Linked DNA regions of Canis lupus familiaris. The protein of the gene in region 1 purifies or fractionates together with the protein of each later gene. This does not show direct contact. Links are inferred from orthologs where the notes say so. Each region holds a gene or a part of one and is shown in the gene's direction. Other genes may lie near its edges.

The links.
Region 2: the proteins of CDKN2A (region 1) and CUL2 purify together in Homo sapiens (affinity purification with western blotting; 3 studies listed by BioGRID, with this or other methods). This does not show direct contact. The link is inferred for Canis lupus familiaris from reciprocal best matches to the Homo sapiens genes CDKN2A and CUL2.
Region 3: the proteins of CDKN2A (region 1) and UBE2I purify together in Homo sapiens (affinity purification with western blotting; 3 studies listed by BioGRID). This does not show direct contact. The link is inferred for Canis lupus familiaris from reciprocal best matches to the Homo sapiens genes CDKN2A and UBE2I.

The regions. Positions count from the first base shown.
Region 1 is NC_049232.1:41,335,395-41,341,798, reverse strand, and holds the end of CDKN2A (cyclin-dependent kinase inhibitor 2A), read left to right. Parts: intron 1-2,003; coding exon 2,004-2,310; intron 2,311-4,525; coding exon of another isoform or gene 4,526-4,529; coding exon 4,530-4,555; 3' UTR 4,556-4,721; downstream 4,722-6,404. UniProt on the Homo sapiens protein: Acts as a negative regulator of the proliferation of normal cells by interacting strongly with CDK4 and CDK6. This inhibits their ability to interact with cyclins D and to phosphorylate the retinoblastoma protein.
Region 2 is NC_049223.1:2,046,840-2,054,147, forward strand, and holds the start of CUL2 (cullin-2), read left to right. Parts: upstream 1-3,474; 5' UTR 3,475-3,812; intron 3,813-4,223; exon of another isoform or gene 4,224-4,400; intron 4,401-7,308.
Region 3 is NC_049227.1:39,922,071-39,929,475, reverse strand, and holds the start of UBE2I (SUMO-conjugating enzyme UBC9), read left to right. Parts: upstream 1-3,571; 5' UTR 3,572-3,703; intron 3,704-4,304; exon of another isoform or gene 4,305-4,361; intron 4,362-4,468; exon of another isoform or gene 4,469-4,579; intron 4,580-7,405. UniProt on the Homo sapiens protein: Accepts the ubiquitin-like proteins SUMO1, SUMO2, SUMO3, SUMO4 and SUMO1P1/SUMO5 from the UBLE1A-UBLE1B E1 complex and catalyzes their covalent attachment to other proteins with the help of an E3 ligase such as RANBP2, CBX4 and ZNF451.

The DNA.
Region 1 (6,404 bases):
GTTGACAATGATTTTGGATTGTGAAAAATAAAATGTATGTGAAACAAAGGCTCACTGCACAAATTCAAGCATAACAAGACAAAGGAAAGTAACTGTACCTGCAATTGCACAGATTTCACAAGTCATCTTCCTTTCCTGAAACAATGCTACATAGGATAAATTTTATATACCTTAACATACATATATAAAAATAAAAACAAAATGCCTTAAAACTTGAGATTATTTGGGATTTTAAGTGTGAAGGGATTTTGAGAGTAGAGAGGTTGTGTGATGGTAGAAGAAAACCATGAGTCCTTTAAAAAGAATGCATGCATGATTTCTCATTTCTCTAAGATTTTGCTCAGAGACTGAGTGTGGCCTTGAAGTTTGGAATATGTTTGAAGAGACTTTGTTTAAATACAAAAAGAAAAAAGTTGGATAATTAGTTTTAACAATTTTTTTAATAGGGAAAATAAGAACATAGAGAAAAGAGTGCATGGTTTTGGTTTAGAACCCTAACCAACCTTGTGTTTAATACAAAACTAATTAGTTTATAGAAAATTATAATTACTTTAAATATCTTATCAAATGGATTTAAGCACTCTACAAATATTCATTTAATCGATTCTTTTTCTTTCAGCTTTGGATTGCTATTTAGATTTAAGTATTTAAGTGTTAGGTTTCTTTCATACTTTAATACTGCAAAATATAATGAAAACCTTTAAAATCAGTTAAGTGTATGTTACCTTACATGGGAAAAGAGGCTTCGCAGATGTTCCTTGGCTTAGAGAAATAATTATTTACGTTTAATGCAGAATGTAATTAAAAATAATTCCTTTTTATACAGTCACTATAAGTCTAGCTAATATAATCAAATAGTGGTTAGCCTAAAAGAAAATTATCTACCACTGCCATCTGCCATGTAACACTCAAATTGTAAGGTTGCTGTGATTGTAGATACTATTTAAAAAATCCTCTTTGGTAATGACTTTGTTTCAAAGACGATTTATCAAACAAATGAAGGGAGCACCTCCTGTTTAATGAACTCTCAGAGTATATAAACTTGGGAAGTTTCTTAGTTTCCTATTTCTGCTGTAACAAATTACCACAACTTTTGTGTCTCAAACCAACATAAATTTATTATCTTATAGTTCTGGAGGTTGAAGTCTAAAATGGATCCACAATGCTGCATTTCTTTTGGAAGTTCTAGGGGAGAATCTGTTTCCAACTTCTAATGGCCATCAACATTCCTGTGCTCATGGTCCCTGCATCTTCTTCTCTCTGACCTCCATTCTTAGATCTTTCTTCTGTAACCTCATAAGGGAATTTGTGATTACATTGGGCCCATCCTGATAATCCATGTTAATCTCTCTCAAAATCCTTAATTTAATCACATCTGGGAAGCCTCTCTTCCCATGTAAGGTATTATATTCACAGCTTTCAAGTGTTAGGTAGTACACATCTTTGGGGACATTCTTCAGCTCATTATGGGAAGGAATTTGGGGGCTGGTTAGAGAACCCTCATTTTATACTTAGAGTGAATTTTAACATTCTGGTAGGCTAAGTGTATATTAAAAGTTTTTTAGGAATTAAAGATTTGTTGTTGTTTTCACTTTCACTTTTTAACAATTATTATGTCCTGGGCTTGGATATACAACAGAAAACCATACAAAATCTCTGGGCCTTATATAATTTTGTATCAAAATGGGTGGGGGGGCTATAGGAGGTTAGGCTATAGTTCAAGCCAGTTCGTCTCTCACTCTTTTGCTATTGTCATGCCTCTGACAGACAATAGGGTGTGGCTGGAATTCCGCAAAAGTTTGGAGAATATAATGGAATTCAATGTGGACAGAAAAATGGAATAAGCAGAACTGTCTAAGGGAGGTGGTAACTGAAAGCAAATAGAATAAATAGACGCCCGTGGCTTGTAGCGGCATCTGCATGGGGTAGGGGCTTCACAAATAGGTTCTTTAAACTTGCCCCTGCCCCCTGTCCCTGTCCTGACCACTCTGCTCTCCCGGCAGGTCATGATGATGGGCAGCACCCGCGTGGCCCAGCTGCTGCTGCTCCACGGCGCCAACCCCAACTGTGCCGACCCCGTCACCCTCACCCGCCCTGTGCACGACGCGGCCCGGGAGGGCTTCCTGGACACGCTGGTGGTGCTGCACCGAGCCGGGGCGCGGCTGGACGTGCGCGATGCCTGGGGCCGCCTGCCCGTGGACCTGGCTGAGGAGCGGGGCCACGGCGCTGTCGCTGCGTACCTGCGCGCAGCCGCGGGGGGCACCGAAAGTGGTAGCCACGCCCGTACGGAAGGTGCGGAAGGTCACGCAGGTGAGGTGCCACATCTGAGTTGGAACTCGGAGAGCTTCCGCAGCCCAGAGCACTCCTTTTTCAGAAGAGAAAGCTGATTCTAGGAGAGCAAGGTCTTGTGTCTCGCTGCAGCTCTCACTGCCAACCTGTAGGACAACCCTATTGTCCCAATCGCGCTGCCTTGCTTGCGCTGCGGATAGGAAATAGCTTAGAGGGATTTCCACACGTTAAAGCCCATCTCATAAATCGTGCCCTTATTTCTCCCAAACACTCACCCTTCCCACAGCTCAGGGCCTAGACTGTGGAATATTGACGACTCAAGAGGCTAGAGGTCTAGTGACCCCCCTCTTCCTCCAGACTAGCTGGCAGCAGCATCCATTCAGCTCTCCTCAGTTTCCGTATTAGCGTATCTAAGTAGCAGGACCATCCCCATAAAAAGCCTTTGCGCGAGGCGTCATCTGGCAGAAATCTGTCCTCCCCCCACCACTGCAAAATTTTACTAAACTCCACCTTCTGCTCTATCCCGAGTTGTTTTCCAGAGCTGCCCAAGGGGGAGAGACCCCTCCAACCCTGGCAGTCTGCACACGGGGATTTGCTACACTCTCTGAGAAGCAGAGACCCTCTCTTAAGCTTTTTCTTCTCTGCGAGAGAGATCGCTGAGACGGGGGAGATGGCCGTGTGATTCTCCTCTCCTTCTCCTTCCACAACCACAAGGCCTTCTTCTCTGGGGACCCCATTCTCCACCTCCACTCCTGCCTTCCTGAAGTATACCCACCTCACTGATCTTTTTCTGAAGGGAGAACCATTAGCTATATAAGAAATTAACACAAATATTTAAGGTAAACCATGGCTGAGAAGATACTGAGATCTAGCCCATGTTGGCTCAGAATCGGGGCATTAGACCCTCTGCACCTTAGTTGGGCGTGAGCGAACAGAGCAAAGAGGCTCGCTCTGGGCCCTAGACCATTGAGGTAGCGAGTTTTGTGCCTTGGACGTGAGAAGCTCGCCAAGATCTCCTTTAGCCTACCCAGCGAGCGCGCGCTCCCTCGCCCCCAACTGAAGTTCGCCTCCAGACACAGCGCGGGGCGAGGGACCAATGGTAGGGCGGGTTGCGCCGAGCAAGAACTGGGAGGAGCTGAAGAGGTGGAAGGGTTAGAGGACAGAACTGGGCCACCCGCAAATAGAGAGGGTAACCCTTTATGAGCAAAACTAAGATTTGACCCAAGCACACAAGTCTACCCACGCCTTTCTTCCTACCTTCCCTTCCTCCTCTTCATCCTACTACGCCATTCGGCTCCATTTAAATGGGACTTAAAGTGAATGAGACAAAACAGGAGTCCTGCCCTCATCGAGCTTACATTCTGGGAAACACACTTTAAGCAATACACAATGTATTTTCACAGAGTTAGTCTGTAAAAACCAATGTGATGGCTAAGAGTCAAGTCTGAATGGGAAGAGAGGCTCAGAGGGGTCGGAGAGCCCGACTGATGAAATTAACCACGGGGGGCGGAGACACTCTCGAGCGCAGGGACCCTAGCGGCTTAGGAGGACCAAAGGCAGGCAGGAGCGCGCACACAGCCAGATCAGAGAGGAAGGCACAGAGGCCAGTTAAAGTTCCAGCCAGTAGTCAAAGAAAGGGTGTTACGGTCGAAACGTGGATTTGGTTTGAGAAACTTTAGGAAGACATTAGTGGGTTGGGGAGAGGGAACCTGGAGAGAAAGACAACAGGACTGGAGCCGAAGGTTCCTACCCTGCCCAGGCGCTCGTGAGCCTCAGGGGCCCCCTGCTTACGGTGTCGCGGAGTCGCTCCGCGCATCAGGTGCAAGAGATGCCTGCGGATACGCGAAGAGCCGGACGGTATTTTCGTGGCCGGCGCCCGGCGGCGCCGCGTGGGTCAAACCCTCAGCACGCGTTATATACTGGGGTTTTCCTGCCGCAAGCCCGTGGGCGGCGTGGCGCGCCCTCCATGCCCCAGCCTGGCGGGCCCGAGCTCGGCGAGCCCGAGCAGCCCGCCGCGCGGTGGACGCGGTGCGCTGTTCGCGACGCTGGGGAGTAGGGCCGCGGGCAGGGTCCAGCCTTGAGGGACAGACCCTGTGCTGACGGGTGGTGGATATTGAGAGGCCAGCGAAGCCTCACGCATATGTGTTTGAATACCAGGTGGGAGACTAACGAGAGGAAGGCGGGATGGATCACGCAGCCTTGACTTCGAGGTTCTAATGTGTTTTTCTTTGTGCAGACAGCCCGGACTTCAAGAATTGAGCTCTAAAGACAGATCAAGTGGTTTTGATCTTCAATCAACAAAAATGAATTACCCCACCCAACCCAACTCTTCCCTGCATGCTTGCCTTTATCAAATACCACTTTTTAACACTGTAGACAGTGTTTAAAAAAATCAGCCTTCCCTTTCCCTTAAATTTCCATTTGTATTTCCATTTATATATTGGTATATAAAAGGTTAAAAAAAAAAACCAGTTTCTGCCTTTTTATTGTTGGGTTAGAATTCTCTGAAGCAAGTCCGTAGGCCCTGAAAACACATCTATGTGGGCACTTCCCCCTTCCTCTTTCCAGCCTCAACACCCGGCAAGGCGCTGTTGTTATTATAGACATTTAGTGAACTAAGGATACGGAACTTAAATGGGTTACATAGCCTTTCCTGTGTCCAACTGCCATCAAGTGGTAGTGCCAAGGTTCACCTTAAAAAAAAAAAAAGTGTGGTTACTCATTTGTTCAGACAATATTTATTGAGCACCTATTAGGGCACCTTGTCATGAGAAAGGAGGGGAAAGGCATCAACTAATGAACATACAAACACATGACTAAAAATTTAAACATCAATTTCATTGACTGGAAGATAGTATTTTTTTCTAAAAGATAAATGGATGCTGCAGTAAGAGTACATAGCATGGATATTAATACATCTGGATTTCAGATGATAAACTGTCAAGAGCTGGATCTTCTAAGATGGATGAAATGGGGAAGAGAAACTCCAGGGAGACTTCAAATTACCAGACTCACACTTGGCCTTCCATTACTTGTCTGGCTATAGGAGATGAGCCTCTCAAGATTTGGGGTATTTTGCCCTAAGCTCCACAGAAATATATGACAGAGTGGTCCACAACCACAAAGCCAGCCTCTGCAGCCTGCTAGGGGTGGGGGTGGGGGTGGGGGTGTCTGACCGGAGCTGCCCCCACCATGCCCCACCCAGCTCTCTAGAACTCCCCCACAGTGGCTACAGAGGGCTGTGAAGTAGCTACTCACCACCACTCAAATCAAAAGCAACTCCAGCTTCTCTGCCACAGCAGGAGGAGGAACATGCATGGCTCTAACTTCCGTGGAGACCCAGAGGCCATGCTGCCTCCTCTGCAGCAGGGAACCATACCTTCATGACTTGTTTTTTGAGGTGCAATTCACAGAAAATTAACAATTTTAAATTGTACAGTTCAGTGGCATTTAGTAAACTTACAATGTTGTGCATCACCATTTATCTAGTTCCAAAACATTTTGATCACCTCCAAATGAGACCCTATACCTACTAACCATACTCATTAAATCCTCCCTGTCCCCATGCCCTGGCCACCACTAATCTTTTGTCTCTATGGATTTACCTAGTCTGTACATTTCATATAATTGGAAGCATACAATATGTCGCCTTTTGCGTCTGGCTTCTTTCATTTGGCATATTTGCAGTTCATCTATGTTGTAGCATATACCACTACTTAATTCCTTTTAATGGCTGAATAGTATTCCATTATTTACTCTATATCATAATGAATATTTGGGTTGTTCCTGCATTTTAGCTATTGTGATGAGTGCTATATTCCGTTATGAGTATTTGTTTGATGGCTTGTTTTCAATTCTTTGGGGTATATACCTAGGAGTGAAATTGCTGGATCATATAATAGTTCTATGTTTAACTTTTTCAAGAACTGTCAAACTGTTTTGCACAGTAGCTGCACCATCAAATATTCTCACAACAATATACGAGGGTTCCAATATCTCCTTATCCTTGATAACACTTGTTATTTTCTGGGTGCTTTTTTTTTTTTCAGAAGCCATCCCAGTGGGGTTTGATTTGCATTTCCTTAATGACTACAGATGTTGAATATCTTTTCATG
Region 2 (7,308 bases), on another chromosome or scaffold:
GACCCAGGGCTGTGCTGACCATGTGCCCCCCCCCGCACCCCCCAGGCAGCAGGCCCGGGTCTAGGGGCAGCGGGACCCAGGGCTGTGCTGACCATGTGCCCCCCCCCCCGCACCCCCCAGGCAGCAGGCCCGGGTCTAGGGGCAGCGGGACCCAGGGCTGTGCTGACCATGTGCCCCCCCCGCCCGCACCCCCCAGGCAGCAGGCCCGGGTCTAGGGGCAGCGGGACCCAGGCTGTGCTGACCATGTGCCCCCCCCGCCCGCACCCCCCAGGCAGCAGGCCCGGGTCTAGGGGCAGCGGGACCCTGGGCTGTGCTGACCATGTGCCCCCTCCCCCCGCCAGGCAGCAGGCCCGGGTCTAGGGGCAGCGGGACCCAGGCTGTGCTGACCATGTGCCCCCCCCCCGCACCCCCCAGGCAGCAGGCCCGGGTCTAGGGGCAGCGGGACCCAGGGCTGTGCTGACTATGTGCCCCCCCCCGCACCCCCCAGGCAGCAGGCCCGGGTCTAGGGGCAGCGGGACCCAGGGCTGTGCTGACCATGTGCCCCCCCCCGCACCCCCCAGGCAGCAGGCCCGGGTCTAGGGGCAGCGGGACCCAGGGCTGTGCTGACCATGTGCCCCCCCCCGCACCCCCCAGGCAGCAGGCCCGGGTCTAGGGGCAGCGGGACCCAGGCTGTGCTGACCATGTGCCCCCCCCGCCCCGCACCCCCCAGGCAGCAGGCCCGGGTCTAGGGGCAGCGGGACCCAGGGCTGTGCTGACCATGTGCCCCCCCCCCGCACCCCCCAGGCAGCAGGCCCGGGTCTAGGGGCAGCGGGACCCAGGGCTGTGCTGACCATGTGCCCCCCCCCCCCGCACCCCCCAGGCAGCAGGCCCGGGTCTAGGGGCAGCGGGACCCAGGGCTGTGCTGACCATGTGCCCCCCCCGCCCGCACCCCCCAGGCAGCAGGCCCGGGTCTAGGGGCAGCGGGACCCAGGCTGTGCTGACCATGTGCCCCCCCCGCCCGCACCCCCCAGGCAGCAGGCCCGGGTCTAGGGGCAGCGGGACCCTGGGCTGTGCTGACCATGTGCCCCCTCCCCCCGCCAGGCAGCAGGCCCGGGTCTAGGGGCAGCGGGACCCAGGCTGTGCTGACCATGTGCCCCCCCCCCGCACCCCCCAGGCAGCAGGCCCGGGTCTAGGGGCAGCGGGACCCAGGCTGTGCTGACCATGTGCCCCCCCCCCCCCCAAGCAGCAGGCTCGGGTCTAGGGGCAGCGGGACCCAGGCTGTGCTGACCATGTGCCCCCCCCGCACCCCCCAGGCAGCAGGCCCGGGTCTAGGGGCAGCGGGACCCAGGCTGTGCTGACCATGTGCCCCCCCCGCACCCCCCAGGCAGCAGGCCCGGGTCTAGGGGCAGCGGGACCCAGGCTGTGCTGACCATGTGCCCCCCCCGCACCCCCCAGGCAGCAGGCCCGGGTCTAGGGGCAGCGGGACCCAGGCTGTGCTGACCATGTGCCCCCCCCCCCCCAAGCAGCAGGCTCGGGTCTAGGGGCAGCAGGACCCTGGGCTGTGCTGACCATGTGCCCCCCCCGCACCCCCCAGGCAGCAGGCCCGGGTCTAGGGGCAGCGGGACCCAGGCTGTGCTGACCATGTGCCCCCCCCGCACCCCCCAGGCAGCAGGCCCGGGTCTAGGGGCAGCGGGACCCAGGCTGTGCTGACCATGTGCCCCCCCCCCCAGGCAGCAGGCCCGGGTCTAGGGGCAGCGGGACCCAGGCTGTGCTGACCATGTGCCCCCCCCCCCCGCAGGCAGCAGGCCCGGGTCTAGGGGCAGCGGGACCCAGGAGCGCGGCCCCCCGGCCGTCCCGGACCTGCTCCCTCCCCGCAGCTCTGACAAGCCCGCACCCACAGTGTCCGGAGACTAAAGGTGCCCGCATGCGGGCCCCAAGCAGGGTTTTGGGGAAGGAACGGGGGACTGGACGGAGGCTGTCCCACGGGACCCGAGCGCGCAGAACCGACACAGGCACTGCGGGCCGCCGGCGGTAGAGACCGACGTCCTCGGTGCCCGGGTCCGCTCTCCTCCGGGTCGGGTGGCTTTCCCCAAACACTGTCCGCCTCGGGCCCGGTAGGAGTGCGGGGGGACGGGCGAGCGCCGCCCGGAGGGACAGCGGGGGCCTCAGAAAGCGGTGCGCGCGGATGGGGAGGCGGGGGGGGCCCCGGGCGGGAGACCGGGCGGGGACGCGGAGGGCGACGGGGCGGGGGACGCGGCGGGGGACGGGGGGCGGGGGACGGGGGGCGGGGGACGGGGCGGGGGACTCAGCGGCCGGGCCGCCGTCCGGAGGCCGCGGTGTCGGGCTGCCCCTGCCCTCCCCGCCGCCGCCCTCTCCGCGCCCCCGGCTGCCGCTCGCCCCGCCCCGGCCCCCGCCTGGCTCCCGGCCCCCGCCTGGCTCCCGGCCCCCGCCTCGCTCCCGGCCCCCGCCTCCTGCGCCGTCGGCGGCTCCGCGGTGCCGGGTCCCGCCCGGCGCGCCACTTACCCGCCGCGATGGGATTTACGTAGCGGCCGTCGTCACTGCTTACGGGCGGGAGGAGGTGGGGACGGCGAGCCCGGCAGCCCGGCGCCCCCGGGGCCCCGCGTCGCCCCCACGTCAGCTCTGATGCGGCAGCCACAGCCTCCCCGCCGACCCGGGGCCAAAAGTAGCGCAGCAGCCGACCGAACCGCGTCCTCGCGTCCCGCCCTCCCCTCCCCCCTCCCCCTCTCCCTCTCGGCGACGGCCTCCCCGGGGACGCCCGGCGGAAGAAAATCCAGGCTCGAACCCTGCCCCCTGCCGGCCTCCAGCGGGAGTGCAGCGCCGACAATCCAACAATTAGATGGAACGGGGGGAGGGGAGGAGGGAAAGGAGGGGCCAGGGGGCGGGGCCTGAGTGGTCGGGAGGCGGGGCCTCGGGGTGGCGAGGGGGACCGGGCAGGGGGCGGGGCCTCGGGGTGGCGAGGGGGACCGGGCAGGGGGCGGGGCCTCGGGGTGGCGAGGGGGACCGGGCAGGGGGCGGGGCCTCGGGGTGGCGAGGGGGACCCGGGCAGGGGGCGGGGCCTCGGGGTGGCGAGGGGGACCGGGCAGGGGGCGGGGCCTCGGGGTGGCGAGGGGGACCGGGCAGGGGGGCGGGGCCTCGGGGTGGCGAGGGGGACCGGGCAGGGGGCGGGGCCTCGGGGTGGCGAGGGGGACCGGGCAGGGGGCGGGGCCTCGGGGTGGCGAGGGGGACCCGGGCAGGGGGCGGGGCCTCGGGGTGGCGAGGGGGACCGGGCAGGGGGCGGGGCCTCGGGGTGGCGAGGGGGACCGGGCAGGGGGCGGGGCCTCGGGGTGGCGAGGGGGTCCGGGACCGGGACCGGGACCGGGGCCGGGAGGAGGGGCGGGCTGCGGCGGGAGGAGGACGGGGTCCTGGAAGCCGGAAGCCGCCAGCCGCCAGCCGCCAGCCGCCAGCCGCCCCGCCTCGCGCCGGAAGTCCCGCTGGCGGCAAAGTTAACGGCAGTGGTTGGCGCGTCCGCGTCGGAGTCGCTGGTTCTCGAGGCTGCCGGCTGCGCGCCCCCTGCCCCCACCGAAGCTGACGTGCCCGAGCGGACCCGGGGAGCGTCCGCCGTCCCGGGGCGCTGTGGACGTGACTTCGGGGAGCTGGCTGTCCTGGTCCCAGCCTGCTCCGCCTCCCCGGTGACTGCGTCGGGGTGTGCAGAATCAGCGGTGGGCCCGCTGGGAGATGCGACGCCGGGAAGGAAGGCTCTGGGTGGCAGGCCAAACCCCGTGCCTCTGAAGTCGGAGTTTGCTTCCCATCCAGTGGAAGGCGAGGGCCCTCCGGTAAGGGGAGCGTTCCGACCCTCTCTCGGGAACCCTTTCTGCATACTCAGAACTTCCTCAACTGCAAGGCTGAGCAAGCCCTCCCAAAGGGAGCCTCCGTAGCCTAAAGACAAGCCGCTTTACATTCAGAAAACACGAATTCAGACAGTGATTACCGCCCGACTTTATAGTACTCAGGGGTGTGAGATGCAGGAAACCAATGTCAAGGACACCACTGATAAGTTGCTGAGAAAAAATAAAAACATGCCAACGTAGTGCAGGTAGAGACGGGAAGCTTTGTGAAATATTAGAATCTGCAGAGTGGGAGAGAATCCTCAACTCTGCAGTCCCAGATTTTGGCCAGCCTGAACCGCTTCCAGCTGTAATGCATAGGGCGCAGATAGAACCCAAATCTGTAAGTTCACTTCCCCCTTTTGACGTAAGAATTCTGAAGCCCCTCCTTGCGTTATCATAGACAATGCCCATCTCGACCACTTGTGAGTACCGATTTCTTAATAAGGAACATTAGCAAGTTAACAAAATTGAATTTAAAAAACAACCAAGTCCTTTTTTGTGTGTGTAGTTAAGGCTGGCACAGAATATTTTTAGGTAAGTAATACAGCTCATTTTAGCCCAGGGGAAAAGGGGTCACTAGAAGGGAAGGGAATAAAAAGGGGTTATCAAACACTCAAATCTTACTATTCATTATGGTCAAGGTTGACCAGTGCAGGATGAATAGATTTTTAGCCACAAGTGATTGAAATTGTGATCATTCACCTTCCCCAAAACATTGCTTTCCCCCTGGTTGTTTGCTGCTAAATTTAACAAAGTATACATTCTTCATATACATAGAGTCTATTAGATATAGGACTTAAGATGTAAGTGGTAAATCAACATACACTAAAATGTAAATGTCAACCCTTTCTTGAGAGTACCTGGGGTCTGAAGAGAAAGGGCATGACAGAGCAGCAGGATCTCATAGTCCCATCGGCCACAAGTCCAATACACATCTCACTGGGCCAAAATCAAGGGATTGTTGGCTCCAGCGAAAAGTCCATTTCCTTGCATTTTTCGTCTTCTAGAGGCCATCCACATTCCTTGATTGATTCCTTTTCCTCCATCTTCAAAGCCAGCAACAGCTGGTGGAGTCTTTTGCTGCCATCGTTATGATTTTGTCTCTCACCTCCCTCTTTTACTTACCAAAACCTTGTTTTAATATTGGGCCTACCCTAATAATCCAGGATAATCTTCCCATATCAAAATTAGCTGATGAGCAAACTTGATTCTATCTGTAACAATTTCCTTTTGCCACATAACCTGTTCACAAGTTATGGGATTAGGATGGAGACATCTCTGGGGAGTGAGCTATTCTGCCTATCCATAGTGAAGGATTCTAAAATAAGCTTGAGCTCTTAGAAAAATCACCTGCCTCTAGGAAGTATCCCTTGCAAATATTTCAAATGTTTGACTAGAAATGCCAATAACTGATTTATCACTTTCTCATTACCTATGATATAGAAAATCTTTAAATTTTTAATTTTTAAATCAGGGGTAAAGGAGCAGATTAGGAAGGTACAAGTTTTTAAATGGGAAGAATAATATACCTACTTCTTAGCATTGTTGTAAGGATTAAATAAAGTAACTACCATAAAGTATGTGCTCAATAAAAAAAACTAGCCAAAATGGGTGATGGGTATTAAGGAGGACACTTGTGATGAGCACTGTTATACATAAGTGATAAATCACTAAATTTTACACCTGAAACCAATTTTACCATATATGTTAACTAACTACAATTTTAAATAACTTGAAATGGAGCAGGGTGGTGGGGAGGAATATTTTTATATTGGTCCAGTGTCCAGGTTTTTGGGCTCCTCACTTAGGCAATATTGCTCTGTAGAAGAGGGACAGCTAGAACATCTACTTTCCTGAGAAAATACAGGCTGTGGGTCACACCCATATATTCTCCCTTCACCTCAAAATATCTTAAATCATCCCTTCCATTATGGGTCAGGAGGAACACCTCCCTCCTTTGCTTTCTAAATCCAGGTATAAAATAGGTGTCATTTCTTTCCCATACCAGATCTAAGTCAATTATCTGCTGTCTTGTACCTTTATTCTCTTTCTCTAGGCTCCATCTCCTATCCCTGCAAATGTATCCTATCTGCCTCTACTTGAAAAGTGTTGACTGCTTCTCCTACCAGAAAAGCTACAGAGTTGCCAGCTCTAGGGTGCCCATTCACATTACATTTTTCCCCATATGCCTGTTCCATCTCTTGCCATCATCTCACTATCAGACTACTCAGGAATAGAGAAGACACTTACTATATTCACTTACTCACCACCTACTACTCATTTCTAACTTCCTGGCTGTCTGATATTTGCCCTCTTTCCCCCCCCCCCCCCCCAAGACCTCTTTCTGATTACAGAATCTGAAACTTTTTTTTTTTCACTCTTCATGCTGCTTGACCTCTTTTCCTACCTTAGTGTCTCCTCTCTGAGTTTCCATGACATTTGACTCTCCTGGTTTCACTCATCTTTGCTTCCCTAATGTGGATAGTTCTGAGTTTTCTGCCCTTGATCGTCTTCTACATTGTCCTCCTTAGTTACCATTCTCACTTCTGTTGAAAAGAAAGAAACTTGCCTCCATTATAGGTCATCCTAAGTATTTCTATTTGGTTCGTTTTCCCAATACATGGCTCTTGTGATGTGATTTCTCTTATTAAAAGTCCTGAATGAAAAAAAAAATCTTGAATGATTGAGGGAGTGGGACTTATGGGGTCAAAGGTGGAAAGGAGATTGAATTCCCTTTGGTGGCCTCTTGAAGAATCTACTACACGTACATACTACATATTCTAAAAACATAAAATTTTAGTTAACGCAAAAACTTAGATCTAATTGGCTAAGTCCAAATATCCTAGTTTTGCATAAAACCTTTCATGATGTGGGCCCAACTTAAGTTTACAGCCCTATTCCATGTTAGTCTCTTGTGTTTTGTATCACACTGGTTCTCAAAGCATCCTGCACATCAGAGTCACATGAAGAGCTTGAAAAGATGTACCCAGGCCATCGGCCCTACCTGTTGACTTACTGAGTCAGAATCCTCAAAGAAAGGGCCTATAAATCTACCTCTTTTAAGATCTCCAGTGAGTTGCAAGATTATTACTTGGCAGCACTTCAGCCAAAACTTACTACTTACTATTATATATAATTACCTTACATTTTCCGATCTTTTTTGCCTTAATTGCCCGTTTTCTCACCAGTTCTCTGTATCTGCCAATTAAAATCTTCTCCATCCTATCAGATCCAGCTTACATACTATCTTCTTTACTCCCACTTAGCCCAAAGTAAGCACTGAATAGATATTAGCTGTAATTAATATTTTGAATGACTTGGGCAAGTTCCTTCATTGACTTGTGCAGAATCAAAGCTCTAGAAAGAGTCTTAAAAACCTAAATTGAAAAAAAAAAAAAAAAAATTGAAAAAAAAAAAAAAAAAACCTAAATTGACCCACTTT
Region 3 (7,405 bases), on another chromosome or scaffold:
ATCGCGCCCTGGGCCAAAGGCAGGCGCCAAACCGCTGCACCACCCAGGGATCCCTTCCAGGAGTATTTGTCCCTCTTGTACCCAAAAGTTCTCAACCATGATGAAGCCTGGTCTATCTTTTTCTTCTTCACTTGCCTGTGGTTTTAGGGTCCTAATCCAAGAAATGATCGCCAAATCCAGTATCGTAAGGACTTTCCCCTACATTTTATTCTAAGTATTTTACAGCTTTAGCTCTTTTTTTTTTTAAGATTTTATTTCTTTATTCATGAGAGAGAGAGAGAGGGGCAGAGACACTGGCAGAGGGGGAAGCAGGCTCCATGCAGGGAGCCTGACGTGGGACTCAATCCTGGGACCCCAGGGTCACATCCTGAGCCGAAGGGAGACGCTCAACCCAAGCCCCCAGGCGCCCACAGCTTTGGCTCTCCTGTGTAGTTAGGACTTTTGAGTTTTGTGCGTGGTGTGAGGTAAGGGGTCCAGCTCCCTTCTTTTACCTGCGGAAGTGCTTTTCAAGCCAGCCCCGAGCCCTGCCCGCAGACCTCCTCCCCACAACGTGGCCTTGGGCAGACACCCGGGGGGGGGGGGGGGGGGGGGGGGAGGCTCCAGGCAGCTCGGGGGCGTACCCCCCACCCCCCCACCCCGCCTCATGGGGCAGGGGCGTAGGGCAGCCAGCATCCTTCCTCCTCAGGGTCTTAGACCCACTGACTGCACAGAGGCCTCACCTTCTCCAAGATTCAGCTTCTCCTTTGTACCCAGGGAACTGGACCCAACCCGCCTGTCTCTCCCACAGGGACTGCTGCACTATGAGCGCACAGCAAGGTCCCCAGCACCCTGGAAACGTCACGCGAGGTCCAGTCCAACTGCCTCCAACCTCACCCCATGGCGCCCTCCCGCTCTGGCTCTGCCGCGGCTACACGGGCCTTTACCGGTCCCCGTCCTCCTTCAGGCCTGTTTGGACGTCACCCCATCGGAGACTTCGCGGACGGCACCATCTAACCCAGATGTGTTCCCAGCTGCACAACTGCTCCCCGCACGCCCCGTGGCTTTAAACAGGGCACTTTGCGGTCGTCTCCCTTTCTTGCGTCAGGAGCGGGGCTGAGTGTCACAGGCCGGGGCTGCCTTCTCCTGCCCTCAGCTGAGGCTCGGGCCTTCCTGCAAGCTCAGTCCCCCGCTGTGGAAGGCCTGAGGTCCCCACTTTCTTGCTGGCCGTCATGGGGGCGGTGGCCCTCGCGGGCTCTAGAGGCCGCCCATTGTTCCCTGCCCGCGGCCCAGTCTACACGGTCAGCGCGCCTCCCATCAGGGCTGGACAAACGTGATGATCCTGACAGCCTGTGCGCCAGCCCGTGAGCGCAGGAACGGCCCAGGACGCAAGCCTGGAGGTCGCCTCCTGCGCATCCCCTGCCCTCCTCCACCTAAATGCCAGATGCTCCTCCTCCAATTTTTTTTTTTAAAGATTTACTTACTCATGACAGACACACAGAGAGAAGGGCAGAGACACAGGCAGAGGGAGAAGCAGGCTCCCTGCAGGGAGTCCAACGTGTGTTTCGATCCTGGGTCCCCAGGATCACACCCCGGGCCGAAGGTGGTGCCAGACCGCTGGGCCATCGGGGCTGCCCTGCTCCTCCGATCCTGACTCTCTTCCCAGCATGAGGACAGCTTTCCCCTAGGAGGGCAGTTCTTCCTGCTGTGGTTGGACCTTGGCCATCAGAGCCAAGGGGCCGCACTTCCCATCTCCGGGTATCCCCTCCTCACGCATAGACAGGACCTGCTCTTAGTTTCCTTCTCTGCAACCTTCCATGGCTCCCCAGGGCCCACAGGGTCAGGCCCAGGCCACCCTTGGTGGTCGGCCTCCCCGAACGACACCCCTGCTCCCTCTCTGCCCTGTCTGTGCAGAGCCCACGAAGGCCCATGGGTCTCCTCTCTTGCCTCCAGCAGCGGCCACCGCTCTTTGTCAGGTGTCTTCCCCACACAGCCTGGTGCAAACCTGGCATCTGCACAAGGATGGGCCCGAAGCCCATGCTCCTTGGCAGGAAGCCACTAGAAAGTGGGCCGTGCAGCAGGCTCTCCTGGGGTTCTCGTTAAAACACACACTCCCGCCCGCAGGACCCCTGGGCTCTGGTGAATCAGAAGCCCCAGGAAACAGGTGTCTCAGATAAGCCCCAGATGGTCCTGACACTCTCAGGTGCAGAACTGCAGCTGCCTGGGGGAGGGGCAGGGCGGCAGCGGCCCATGGGGGTGGCCCTGGGGATTCAGGAGCCGACAGCCCGGCGGAGTTCAGGCCTGGCGGGGACGTGACCGCTTATACTTGGCTCATTGGTCACCGGGGCGGCGGTCACTCTAGCCAAGCCCCAGAGGCCACTGCTGGCCGGGGTGGGGGTGGGTGGGGTGGTGACCTAGGCCCCGCATCAGGGGGACGCCCTCATTTTACTCCCCAAGTAACAGGAGGGCTGGGAGCGGCGCGGCTTGCATGCCCTGAGCAGCCGCTGGACACGGGGCCTGTGGTCCCTGCCCCTGGGGAAGCCTGAGCACGGTGCCAACTACGGGGCCCCGGGGGAGAGAGGGAGGGAGGGAAGGGAGAGGAGGGGAGGGGGAGGGGGGAGAAACGGAGGAGGGAGGGAAGGGGGAGGGGAGGGAGGGGGAGGGGGCGTGCAGGCCCGCCGCTCCGGCATTCCAGTGCCCCCACCCGCGACCTGCAGCCCGGGGCCGCGATGCCCTCCAGCGGCCCCTGCGCGGGGATGGGGGTGCCCGAGACACCCACCGCTGCTTGACCCCTAGGCGCCCACCGGGGCAGCGGACTGACCTCGGAAGGCGCCCCCCCACACACACCTGGGGTTCGGGCGACGAGGCGGGCCCGACGGGGAGACGCCCGGCGGACCGGGAGGGGCCGCGGTTCGCTCCGCCCGCCGTCCGCTCTCCTCCCCTCCCTTATGCGCCCGCGGCCCCGGCGGCCCGCCCCCGGGTTAGGGAGCGTCAGCACTTGTGGTCCCGTCGGTCCGGCGGGCGCTCGGCCTCCTGTGCCGGGTCGACTCATTGGGCGGCTTCGCCGGGCGCCCCGCCCCGGGCCCGCAGCTGGCCAATCGCAAGGGGTTTCACAGGCCGCCGTGCTCCGGGGACCGTCACCGCGCTGCGACGCTTCGGGGATCCTTAGGCCTCAGTGGGCTTTTCTCCCCCGGCCCCTGATCCCAGCCCCAAGGAGACCTCCGGGGCCCGTGCGCGGGCAGCTGCCCGCGCGGCATCCGGGGGGCCCTCGGCGGTCTCGGCCTCCGCCGGCCCCCGCTGCCCGCCGGCGTGTCCTCGGGTGGACGCGCGCGTCGCGAGGGGGAGTTTGCAGACGCTCCCTCCGGTCGGGGACGCGGCTCCTTTAAGGGCGCAGGTGTCCGCGGCGCCGCCCGACGGGAAAGCCTCCGCCGACCCAGGCTCCGGAGCCGCACCCGGGGCGGGGGCGCGCGGCGGCAGGGCGCGGGCGGCGGGCGGCGCGCGGCGGGCGGGGCGGCGCGGGGCGCGGGAAGGCGGCGGCGGCGCGCGGGGCAGGCGCGCGGCGGGCAGCCCCCGTAGGCCCCGCCCCGCCCCGCCCGCCGGGGGTCCTCGGAGCGCTCGGGCTGCGCGCGGAGCGGGCTCGGGAGGGAAGTCCCGAGACAAAGGGAGCGCCGCCGCCGCCGCCGCCGCCGCCTCGTCCGCCTCGCTCGCCGGGCCGCGGCCGCCCGAGGTGAGCGCGGGGGCGCGGGCGGGCGGCGGGGGGCGCGGGCGGGGGCCGGCCTCGGGGCGCGGGGCCTCCGCCGCCGTCGGGCCCGGCCGGGCGCCTCCCCCAGCCCCGGCCCGCCCCGCGCCCCCCCCGCCCGGAGCCGGGCCGCCTCAGTCCGCGGCGTGCGCCCCCCCCCGCCCCGGGGTCGCGGCCCGCCGGCCCCTCGAGCCCCGCGCGCGCCCGGCCGGGAGCGCGGAGAACGGCCCCCCGGCGCGTGCCCGGCGCGGCCCCGGAGCTGCGGCCGCGGTTGACAGGGATGCGAGCCCGCCCGCCGCCGCTGCCGCCCGCGGGATCCGTTTCCGGGGTCACGGCCCGCCCGCCGGCCGCGGAGCTCGTGCGCGGGGCCCCGACGCGCCAGGCGCCCCCCGCCCCGAGCCCCGCGGGGTCTCCCGGGGCCGAGCGCAGGGGGCCGGGCCTGCACCTGCTGGGGCCGGGGCGCCTGCGGACCCCGGGGCCCGCGGAGGAGTCGGCAGCCCCGGCCCCGCGGACCCCAGCTTGCTCCTGCTTTGCTTACGGGGTGCGGGGCGCCGGGCGGTCGGAGCCTGGGGAGCCCCGAGGTCAGGGACCCGGCCTCCGAGTCGGCGCCCGGGGTCCCGGGAGCTGTCGGGGGGCGGGCGGCCAGGTAGGTGCCTCTGCCGGGTGCAGCAGGTCCCCCCCTCGGGGAGCGCCGCCCAGGACGGCCCGGGCGGGGCTCCCACTCGCAGCGTGTCTGCGTCCCGCACAGGCCCGAGGGGTCGCAGTGCTGCGCCCATTTCACAGATGAGACCGAAACCGTCCGGACGGGAGATGAGTGCCTAGCCCAAACCCCGGCAGCCAGGGCAGCCAGGAAGCGGCTCTGAGGTCTGTACCCTCAGGTCGCGGAGCACAGCGCCAGGGGAGTTCACCGAGAGTCCACGCCGCTGCGGGAACCCTGGCGGGAGGTGGCTGTGCCTGGAGGGCCCGCTCCCGTCCTCGGGCTGTCTCCCCGGCCTGGGGATGGGTCGTCCCATCTCCCGGCGTCTGGCTCGCACCTAACCACCCCCCTGAGTGCCTCTCTGTGAGCTTGTCCCGGGGAGATGTGGTCTTAAGTGGGATTCTGAATGAGAGGTTGCCTGCTGTGGTTGAAATGTAGCAAACTGGAGGCTGGTGGGAGTGGGAGCATGTCTGAGCCCAGGTGTGTGCTGGGGACAGGGCAGCTGTGCACCTGTGGCTCTTTGTCCCGCCGGCAGAAACCCACCCCGGTCTGGCCCAGCAGCACCCCCGCGGCAGGAGCTCTCCTGCGACCACCCCTCCTGACTTCCCCCAACCTGGGACACCCTCACACAGGCCCTGGGGCAGGGCCTCCATGGGCGGTCCTGTCCAGTCTTCAGGGCAGAAGAGGTGGCAGGGTTGTGCCACGGGTACGCTTGCAGACGGCGCTCAGGACGGCCTGGCCTGGCCTGGCAGGGCCTGCCCCCAGCCCCCACAGAGCGCCCCGTGTTGGGGAGCTCCGGCCTGGGGCTTCAGAAACCTGTTTAGATGCCTGGCAGAGCTTAGGCTCACCGGGGACCTTGCATCTCAACTACAGAACTGCTTACCAGGCTGCTTGTCTTTGGTCGCTGAGGCTCCGTGTTGGTTAATTCAGCAGAAGGTTCCTGCCAACTTGCACTGTCTGCTTCCCCGGGGGGGTGAAGGGGGTGCTCCGGTGATCATGCTGTGTGCGCCAGGGAGCTCGGGGGCAGGAGTGTTTTGTGCCCTCGAACCTCCTGCAGGGAAGGGCATTTCCACTGACCCAAGGCTTGGGGTTGGCTCAGATTCCACGGAGAAGGACCAGTGGAAATGAAGGTTTTGAGAAACTTGTAGAAGTAAAGCATCTTCCGGCATCGGGGTCCCTGCCCGCTTCTAACCAGAGAACACTTGGGAGGCAGACTGGCCTACGCTCCTGCAAGCCCTAATCCTCCTCCTCAGGATCAGCGCTCGCCCTTGTTGCACTGCTGGGCCCCCGCCTCTGGCCCAAACAAATATTCCAGACGAGTGTGCTGTCCTGTGAAGGAGATCTGGGCAGGGGTGCACCTTGCTGGTCCCAAACTCCCCCTGGCAGGTGTTCCTGGCGGCCAGGTCCGTACACGGATGGGGACGAAGGGGGCAGACTAGGATTCTGGGATCATGTGGTGAATTGCAGTTCTGTTCTGGGTCAGCATGCTGTTGTCTATATCGAACGTAGTCTTGAGGTCAGTTAAGATCAGAACCTCGTACAAGGTGTGCTCTGGCGTCACGGTGCCAAAAGCTGCAGGCGGCAGCCCCGGGCGGGGGGGTGTCGTCATCATGTCATGCTTTCTGAATGGAGGGCTGTGATTTTTGACTTTTTGTTTTTCTTATAAGCTAAGTACATGGTTTTTAAAACGGGACCCCATCTAGTTGGTCTGGCGGTTTGTCATAACTCAGCCAGCTTCCTGAGACCTGGTCTCTTGCATGACACCAGGGACTACAGTCGTGTTCTGCAGTGGTGATTCCCAGACCCTTCCTCCTACTTGGCTTACTTCTTGGGAAGAGAATTGACCGAGAGCCTCCCAGACCCCAGGCACTAGGTCTCGCCCAGAGTTCTGACGTAAGGCCACAGGGGTCTGGGACGTGCATTTTTGACAGGCACACAGGGCCACACCTGGAGAGCCAGAGATAGCAAGGTCCAGGGCCTGTGTCCGCTGAGCTGTTGGTCTCACCCCTGCTGCATGACGGTGTGGGCTCTGGGCAGGGGACTGTGCTGCTCAGGGACCGGGAGGGGGGTGGCTGGGGTGGGGGGTAGGTGTTGGGGCAGAGAGCATGATATGGATTGGACTGCTGAGGGGCAGTTGAGGGTGTGTGAGCTGGGTTTGAGTTGAGGCTCCACACTTAGCCAGGGCCCTACCTTCTGGTCGTTCCCAGGTCTGTCGAGCCTGGTGGGGAAGCAGGGGTGTAGGTGAACCTGAGCCCAGGAACATGGCTGGGAGGTGGTTCTCCTGAACCCAACTGAAAACCCTGGTAGTTGTGGAGAACCCCGCATTGTACTCAGGAGCGTGGGTTGTTGGACCTTTAACCCCATAAGAGCAGAGCAGAGACTTGTTGCCAGGTGTCCATGAAGCCTGCCTGAAGGGTTGGGGCAGGCTGCTGTCATCCCCTTCTAGGAGACACCCTCTTTGTCTTGTTAAAGCCTTGTTTATGGTAAATGTTGGATTCTAGGAGTCCTCGATGTTTCCATGGACTTTGAAGAGCAGCAAACAGACTCAGGGCAAGATTCTCCCAGGGCAGGAGGGAGCCAAGGGCAGCTGGGGGCGCCCCAGCCTGTTCTTTGCTGGGTGAGCGGCAGCCCAGAGAGTCTGTTCCACCTGCAGGCTGCGCACAGGTGTGCTCAGCGGGCGCCAGGCCACTGGTGGGAACAGCCAGAGGCACCAGGCCTTGGGGGCTCGGAGCTGCCGTCTCCCACAGCCAGCACGCTCCCAGGACAGGTGGACGCTGGGCAGGCTGTGGGCTGGCCACTCACCTCCTGCTGACTCCCTGAGTAAATGGGAGATAGGCCTTGATCCATTTGTTGTTTGTGGGGCGGCTGTGGATCTGGGGGCAGGGGGTGGCTGTGGGATGGGTAAGTGGAGACGGCAGTGGGTAGCGCCTGGGGCCCTGGTGAGAGGTGGGTCTCTTGGGTGCTGGGGGCTGGGTGCTGTCCAGGGACTTGCG